Schizosaccharomyces pombe: one gene and its partner. The gene in region 1 interacts genetically with each later gene. Each region holds a gene or a part of one and is shown on either strand. Other genes may lie near its edges.

Evidence for each region. A genetic interaction does not mean that the proteins touch.
Region 2: mutations in bhd1 (region 1) and rhb1 are lethal when combined (synthetic lethality), as found in Schizosaccharomyces pombe (one study listed by BioGRID).

What each region holds. Positions count from the first base shown.
Region 1 is NC_003423.3:2,331,723-2,336,867, reverse strand, and holds bhd1 (folliculin bhd1), read left to right. Parts: upstream 1-1,926; 5' UTR 1,927-2,590; coding exon 2,591-3,694; 3' UTR 3,695-3,875; coding exon of another isoform or gene 3,876-4,598; 3' UTR 4,599-4,640; downstream 4,641-5,145. Other genes in the region: SPOM_SPBC24C6.09C (phosphoketolase family protein), read left to right, coding at 1-1,606; SIN component Cdc14, read right to left, coding at 3,876-4,598.
Region 2 is NC_003423.3:473,105-476,423, reverse strand, and holds rhb1 (Rheb GTPase Rhb1), read left to right. Parts: upstream 1-1,926; coding exon 1,927-1,988; exon of another isoform or gene 1,989-2,047; coding exon 2,048-2,306; intron 2,307-2,360; coding exon 2,361-2,597; 3' UTR 2,598-2,754; downstream 2,755-3,319. Other genes in the region: wpl1 (WAPL family protein), read left to right, coding at 1-1,404, 1,445-1,497, 1,543-1,797; SPOM_SPBC428.15 (Obg-like ATPase), read right to left, coding at 2,985-3,319. UniProt on the Schizosaccharomyces pombe protein: Binds GTP and exhibits intrinsic GTPase activity. Regulates entry into stationary phase when extracellular nitrogen levels are adequate for growth.

The DNA of each region.
Region 1 (5,145 bases):
GGCTGCAACTATGGATTGGGCCGTTGAACGCATTCATGACATCCAACATCGCGCTCGTGTTAACAGAGAAGAAATCAAACCCAGATGGCCCATGATTATCCTTCGTACCCCTAAGGGTAAAGGATGTCCCAAGTATTTGAATGGCAAATTTTTAGAAGGTACCTTCCGTGCTCACCAAGTTCCTTTGAAATTGGCTCGCACCGATACCAACCAGCGCAATCTTCTAAAGGATTGGCTGAACAGCTACAACTGCCAAGACTTCTTAGACGAACATGGACTTCCTACTAAGGGCATCACCGAGCATCTTCCGCCTCGTGAGAAGCGCATGGGTCAGCGTCATGAGACATACAATTCTTATCTACCTTTGAAGGTACCTGATTGGAAAAAATACGGTGTCAAGAAGGGAGAAACCACTAGTGCCACTTCGGTCGTTGGTCAATATCTTGATGAACTCCTCGTAACCAACGATTCAACCCTTAGAATTTTCTCACCCGATGAGTTGGAAAGTAATAAATTAGATGGCGCTTTGAAGCACTCATATCGTACCATGCAAACTGATCCAGAGCTCATGGCAAAGCGTGGTCGCGTTACCGAAGTCCTTTCAGAGCACCTTTGCCAAGGTTTCATGCAGGGTTATACTTTAACTGGACGTACCGCGATTTTCCCCTCATATGAAGCCTTTATGACTATTGTTGTTAGTATGCTTGTTCAGTACTCCAAATTTTTGAAGATGGGCTTGGAGACCGGATGGCATGGAAAATTTGGTAGCTTGAACTATGTTACTTCCAGTACTTGGGCAAGACAAGAGCATAACGGTTTCTCCCATCAATCACCCAGGTTTATCACCACTATGCTCTCTCTGAAACCTGGTGTTAGCCGCGTATACTTCCCACCGGATGCCAATTGCTTCTTAGCAACCGTCGCCCGATGCATGAAGTCTGAGAATACTATCAACCTTATGGTTTCTAGTAAAAATCCACAACCAGCCTACCTATCTGTTGAAGAGGCCGAACATCATTGCAAGGCCGGTGCTAGTGTTTGGAAGTTTGCTAGTACAGATAATGGCGAAAATCCTGATGTTGTTATTGCCGGCGTCGGAAATGAGATTATGTTTGAAGTAGTTAAAGCCGCAGAGATGCTTCAAAATGACATTCCTGAGCTCCGAGTGCGTGTCATTAACGTCACTGACTTGATGGTACTTTCGAGCTTACATCCCCATGGTATGAATCCTGCGGAATTTGATTCTTTGTTTACCAAAGATCGCCATGTTCATTTCAACTATCACGGTTATGTGATGGACTTGAAGGCTCTCTTGTTTGATCGCATACAAGGTACACGGGTCACTATGGAGGGCTATCGAGAGGAAGGTACTACTACCACTCCTTTTAATATGATGATGTGTAACAATACCTCTCGTTATCATGTTGCAAGAATGGCTTTGCAACATGCTTTACACAATCCTACCGTGGCCGTTAATTGTAACATGTTGTGTGCCAAATATGCTTGGAAGCTCGAAGAGATTGAAAATTATATTATGGAAAACAAGGATGATCCTCCTGAAATTTATGCTGCTCCTGTCTTTAAAAATAAGACTTCCACATTATAGATAGAAATGGTGCATTCTTTTTGTTTATATAATGATAATTCTACAGAATTTAAATAAAATTACATCTGTTTTTGTGTTAATTAAAACGTTAGCATATCTTGTAGTGTTGGGGTGTACCCAAACATTGGTTGGTGGTATCACTTAGGTAGCTAGCTGACTTGGATTTGCCCGGTCGCGCGCATATTGCAATTGTGTTTTACACGATTTAATATACCAATTCTTATATACATTACTATCAATAGTTTGTGGCTGTATTTAGTAATCGAAACAGTAGAGGCACTAATTGATACCTTACGCTTTTTTGTAGCTCGTCAGTTTTTAACCTCTTCCTCCCCCTCTCAACGCACTCGCATTTTTACTTGTTTTCTATGAAGGTCGTTTTCATTTTTGAAGTTTCTTAATTACTAGCTTTTCGTAAATTCCCTCATTTGCGACTCTTCAGCATTCCCCTACAATATCGGAAATGTGGAACTTGGTATAAACTTCTGAACATTCTATTCCTTGAAGTGAGAAAATCAACCGCTTTTTCCAAACAGAAAAACTTTTTTTTTAATTCTTTTAATGTAAACTGGACAGATTCTAGTGTGTTTATTATATTTTGGTACTGTGTGAGATGAAGACGCACACATATATCCTCTAATTTATCAGGAATTTTCATATCAATTTCAGTATCTGGAGCGTTTCAAGCTCTTTAATCCATTTTTTTTCTAATCCTCAATCTTTTCGAAATACCTCAGTATAACTGAATGTTTGCTTGGTAAATCGGTAAAGTACAAAAGGTTGTTTTCGAACGAATGCACATCTTACATTTTATCGACTTTAAAACGTATCACCTTATTAATCATTAGATTTGAAGGCATTATTTAGAAGCTATTATACACCATCAAAACTTTTCAAGTTCATTGTCGCTTTCTAAACATTTGCTTTCAGATCGCCTTTGTCAACTAAACACTTTTATCTCACCAAATTTCCATAATAGTCATAATGGATGTTGTTTTTGCTCTTGGACATTTCTGTGAGGCCGAGGGGCCTTCCATTATTTTTTGCACTCAAAAATTGCATCGCTCTACCGTTTCAAAATTTTTTGAGCATCCTACATCTAAGCGCTCTATTGGCGTAACGGAGAATGGTAATGATTCACCAGAAGCCTTCAAAAATGAACTCGATAATCGAAACAATGCCGATTCTCAATCTTTACAAAGTTCTACCGAATCACTTTTCAAAGCTGATTCTGAAGATTATTTATGTAAAAAGGTATCGAAAGGACCAGAATCCCCCCGAGTAAACTCATTTCATAACTCATACTCTCGAAATCAAAGCCCTATTTCGAGAAAATCATCTTGTGTTACATGTAGTACTGTTTTACCCCTTGAATTCTCTGTACCTGATGTTCAACCACGACTTTATACAAACTCAAGTACAAACCCCGATGTTTTATACATGTCTAGTCAACATCCACATACTCAGCAACGATATTCTACCCTTAAGCGATTAATGGTTCGCTGCTTGAGCTGTGAATATTCAACACTATCTGAAGCTTCCGATTCTATGTCAAATCCTTTGTTCTTTGGAGACCAAGATAACGGTTACGTTATTAGTCAGTCTTTTTCTTTAAGAGATCCCTCTGCCCGGGGAGGACTTCGAAGATATGCGATTATTGCTACTTGTCCAAATCAGTTAGATTTGATTTTGCGATATAGTTTTATTTCTGAAAAGTTTCTTCATATAGTCCAGTTTCTAAGGATTTCTTCTTTCAATACAAAGAATGACTACTCCTCCTCCCGTTCAAAAACAACAGCCTCCTCTAGCAATGGAACGTTTGCATCCCCCAGTTTTAACATTTCTTCGTTATCGGGTTCTTCAAATATAGGAACTGCTCCTTCGTATGAGATATCCTCTAGTATCGGTGCAAATGTGTCATCTTTGGCCCACACACAAAGACTTCCTTCTTTCAGTTTTTTGCGTCGTCGAGACGATATTGGGGAGGGACGCAGTTTAGTTGATATCACATGTTGGGACGGAATCTTTGTCGGTCTTCACAGTTCGTTTAGCTGGATTCTGGAGGTTTGGGATCTCTTAGTAGTATGAAAGTAAAACTGGTTGACTTTTTACAAATGCTATAGGATGCTGGAATACTTTCAATAGTAAGATGATCGATTAATAATTTAACATTAACATTAGAAATTCTTTAGTAAATGAATACTAAATTTTCAAAAATAAGTTAACAATGAGACTTTAAACATTTTTTTGCACCAGGCATTGCATCTAACTAGTCGAATGTTTCGTCTAACTTGCCAAATGGTTGAAACTTATCTAAATCATCTCGAAGCCCTTGTACGTTAGAAAGATATTTGGATAGGTAAGCTTGTTTCTCAGTCCGCGTTTTCCTGTAGGCAATGACATCTATAGAATATGGTTCAGGGGATAAATAGAAATAGAAAAATTCGAGAATTTGAAATCGGGTGTCCTGACTTGTTTGTTTGTGCTTAAAAACTACGCATATCTGCTGCAAGCCATTAATCTGCTCAAAAAGCCTAATAGCCAGTGGACGATCTGCCATGATACATACAAGCGTTTTCATTGCAGCCACTTGCAACATAGATGGCTGAGATGGCTGTAATAAATGAATAAATAACCTTAAGGTAGCTTTATCTTCAAATAACGTCTGTGATTTTGGATGGATTAAAACCAATCCTTCAATCACATGCAGTAAGTCATCAATTAGCTTTTGAATGAATTGAAAGTTTTTTTCGTATGCCTCTTCATTCTGCTGATATTCAAGGAGACTGTCCAAAGCGTAAATGCAAGGGGTAGTAGAATTATACAATGGTGAATCCTGTAATTTTAGGAAAATTTCTCTTGGAATTTTATCATCATGACTAGGTTTCGCAACATGATATACAATAGATTCGACTTGACGCAAACCAATTCGAATTAGCTTTGGATTCCTCATACACAAATGCTGTTTAGCATTGTTTAATAGATCTTCCATACCGGATCATTATTTACTCATGCCAAGCGGGCAATAAAAATCCTTATTATAAATAAAAGTAAATTGAATCTTCGTTTAGTTAAAGATAAAAAAGAGACTCTATATTCGTTCTTAGTAATGATATAAATAGTAGGGTGGAGTGTTGAAGCAGCTACATTAAATTGCTATTTTCTAAAACTTGAGGTTTTGGGAGAGAAAACACCAGCTTGCTAAGATAGGATACAATTGAATATTAACAGGCGAATTGGAGCCATATTTGAAAAAGGGGCCTAAAATAACAAAACAAGCAACATCGAGTCCTTATAGATTTATATTTAGTTTACGATCAAATCCGCCTAATTTAATTATATTAATATCAATGGGTTTAGTTTGTCTCAAACGGTTGACATGAAAAAATTTAGATATTAAATTAAACAATAGTTATGTATTAATCGTAAAATTATCAAATAACAAAAACTGCAGTTAATTTTGAGCTATTTAAAACAATATAAGATTACACGAAGCTTCGAAGAAGCTATGAAATAAAACAATTAGAATGCACTAATTA
Region 2 (3,319 bases), 1.9 Mb from region 1:
TAAACAAGCAAAAGCGCTCGCCAGGACAGACCGTGTCTAAACGACTGCATAAAAAGCAAAGGGTCGTTAGTAATCCTGATTTGAGTTTACCGTCTTCACCGGTAAAACAAATTTTAAGAAATGGACTTCAGAATTCAAAGTACGGTTCTCATAAGACAGGACTGGAAAGGTCCGCGAGCTGTAGTAGTATTGATGCTTCCGCAAACCATTCTTCCACTACCTATCGGGAACAAAGATCGTATTTGATGGAGGAAGGATTAGATACTCAGCCAATTGTACCCCGTGAAGTATCCTCTGGTCGAGAATTGGATTCAACCAACCATACTATTGGTACAGAACGTGCTTTTTTGATAGAGGAAGACGTATCAGAAGATGATGAAATTCAAATGAAAAGTATACATGAACTTCGCTTTGCTGGAGAGCAGCAAAGGATCGTTGATGAAATTGAATACTTAGTGGACGGAGTGACTTTCTCAGGTAACTCTTCTGCTTCTCGCTATTTGAGTTTAATAGGAATCGCTGAAAAAATGTTTGACAATTCATTTCGTTTATGCTTAAAGTCGATACGGGATGTCTTCTTGCGAATATTTGAAGAAATTGATCCTAAAGATACTTTACACACTTTTTTGCAGATTTATATATTTGCAACTATGGCTAATGAAATGGATTGCATGAGTTCCTTGCTTGATGCTTACTCAAACAATGTTAAACTTCTTTTGCAAACGGCTATTACTTTAGAACCGCAGGTACCGGTTTCAATTTTGGCAAAAAGCTTACCAAAAAGTGTAAAGGGAGCCGTTCAAGAATTCGTTATAAAGGCAGAGCTTACTTTTAGTTTTAGCAATGAGTCTCTTGCTTCTTCTGATTCTATCAGTCTTGCAGCTATCGCTCTTATGAAGACGTCCTCGGGAGTTTTTGCGGAAAGCGAGTTGTTTACCGAATTAATCAATCTTTTAATAGAAAAATCCTACCCCATCTTGAAGGAAAACGATGGAAGCAATAACTTCTTACTTCATGCACTTTGTAGTTCTTTAGAAAAATTTACGGATTTCCAGGGATCAGAAAAGATTCAGAAGGTTTCACAGATCTTATCCTCAAAGTTACAAATTTTAATTGATGAACACAATGAAACAAATTCACCAAAAATTGACGATACAGTTGTCCATGCATGCAGTGAAAAATTGTTGCGTACTTTGATTCAAACAGTTAATTCTAACAGTGATCATGCGTTAGCGGTTTCTAAATCAGAAGTCCCATTGTTTGCTTATAAAATTTTACAAAAGTTTTCTAATTTTTCGTCCGATGATGAAACTACACGAGAACTAATTATCTTAATCCTTGGTCTTTTACTAGGGCTAGTTGAGGAATCTCATGAGTTTATTCAAACTATCACTCATGTTGAAGGTAAGTTCCTTTTATTAATATTTTTACTAATTCTATTTAGTTTCTTTCGGAGCTTCAGCACTCGATGTCCTCATTTCGTTTTATCAAAAGAACGTAAGTTGTACTACTTCTGTTGTAAGACATTTCTAACAAATGTAGGAAAGTATCGTAGAAATTAGTGGATATGTCGTAATGATTTTAAGCCATTGCTTTTTAAATGATCCCAAAGCGTTTGCCCAACTCAAGCCTTTGATATCTCAGTTTTACGAATCTCTACATAAATTTAAAAATTTTCATTTGAAATTGAAAGAGGAATTAATGATGATGGGTTCTAATGGACTAGCCATTGTTTCTATAATTGATGAACTACATAAATCGTTGCAAGACTACTTGCGCAGTGACTTGGTAAAATGACCTTTGCGGCGCGCTGGGAACGTGACATCCACAACATCGTTGCTTTCACTCACTTTTTTTTACGATCACTCTATAGTTAATAATTTGCCTTTTTAAATATTATAATCTTGAAATTTTCTAATTTAAACAATGGCTCCTATTAAATCTCGTAGAATTGCTGTTCTTGGCAGTCGTTCTGTTGGAAAGTCCAGGTAAGCGTTTGATTGAAGTTTATGCGCAAATAGGTTTACTAACCATTTTTTTTAAATAGTTTAACGGTGCAATATGTTGAAAACCATTTCGTTGAATCGTATTATCCAACTATTGAAAATACATTCAGCAAGAACATCAAGTATAAGGGTCAAGAATTTGCTACTGAAATTATCGATACGGCTGGTCAAGATGAATACAGTATCTTAAATTCTAAGCATTCCATTGGAATCCATGGCTATGTACTCGTTTACAGCATTACTAGCAAATCTTCTTTTGAGATGGTTAAAATAGTTCGTGACAAGATATTGAATCACACTGTATGTCAAATTATTAGAATTTTTAAATTTTTTACTAACCTACTTGCTATTAAGGGTACTGAGTGGGTCCCCATTGTGGTTGTTGGCAATAAGAGCGACTTGCATATGCAGCGTGCTGTTACCGCTGAAGAGGGAAAAGCATTGGCCAATGAATGGAAATGTGCATGGACAGAAGCTTCAGCTCGCCATAACGAAAATGTTGCTCGAGCATTCGAGCTAATTATCAGCGAAATTGAAAAACAAGCAAATCCTTCCCCTCCTGGTGATGGAAAGGGTTGTGTTATCGCCTAAGCTTCTGCTTGAATTTATCATATTATGGATTAATTTATTTTAACTGAATTAACGATTTTATCTTTGCTAATGCAAGATATGGGCTTACATTACATGAGGTGATACTTTGCACACAAACGTGTTTTTTTACACATGGGTTTACAAGATTTCGACTCTTTATTTCAAATATACAAGTACCTAAACTATGGTTTTAAAATTTAGTCAATGTAATACATAGTGGAGAAAGTACAGCCAGACATTGTAGACGTAATTTGTTGAGTTAGCTCTTCGGAAGTTTTAAACTAACCAAATTAATTTTTAGACATAGTATTGTTTATTAACATCTATACAAAACTATTTTGAATATTTCCCAAAATCGACCTTTTACCACTTTTCTTCATGAATCACTTAAGCTTCAGCTTTCCGCAATCGAAAGTGAAGGATATCCGTTTTACCTGGGACAATAACATCAGATTCGCCGACGTTTCCATTTACACCCACAATAGACATTGCTTCTCCACCCAATACCATTTGAGATACCTGTCCAGCAGTCGTTCCTTGCTTCACTAAGATGCAATCTCTGAAAACACCTTCATTAGGAGAGTTTGCAAAATTGTGAACGTTTTTAACGGGAAAAACTGGAATCAAATTTAAAAGTTCCATTGCCTTTGCTAAAACATTACAAACTCCAGTTGAACCGTGTCGAAATAATACCATGTCTTGGAGGTCTGCGATACGGGTTT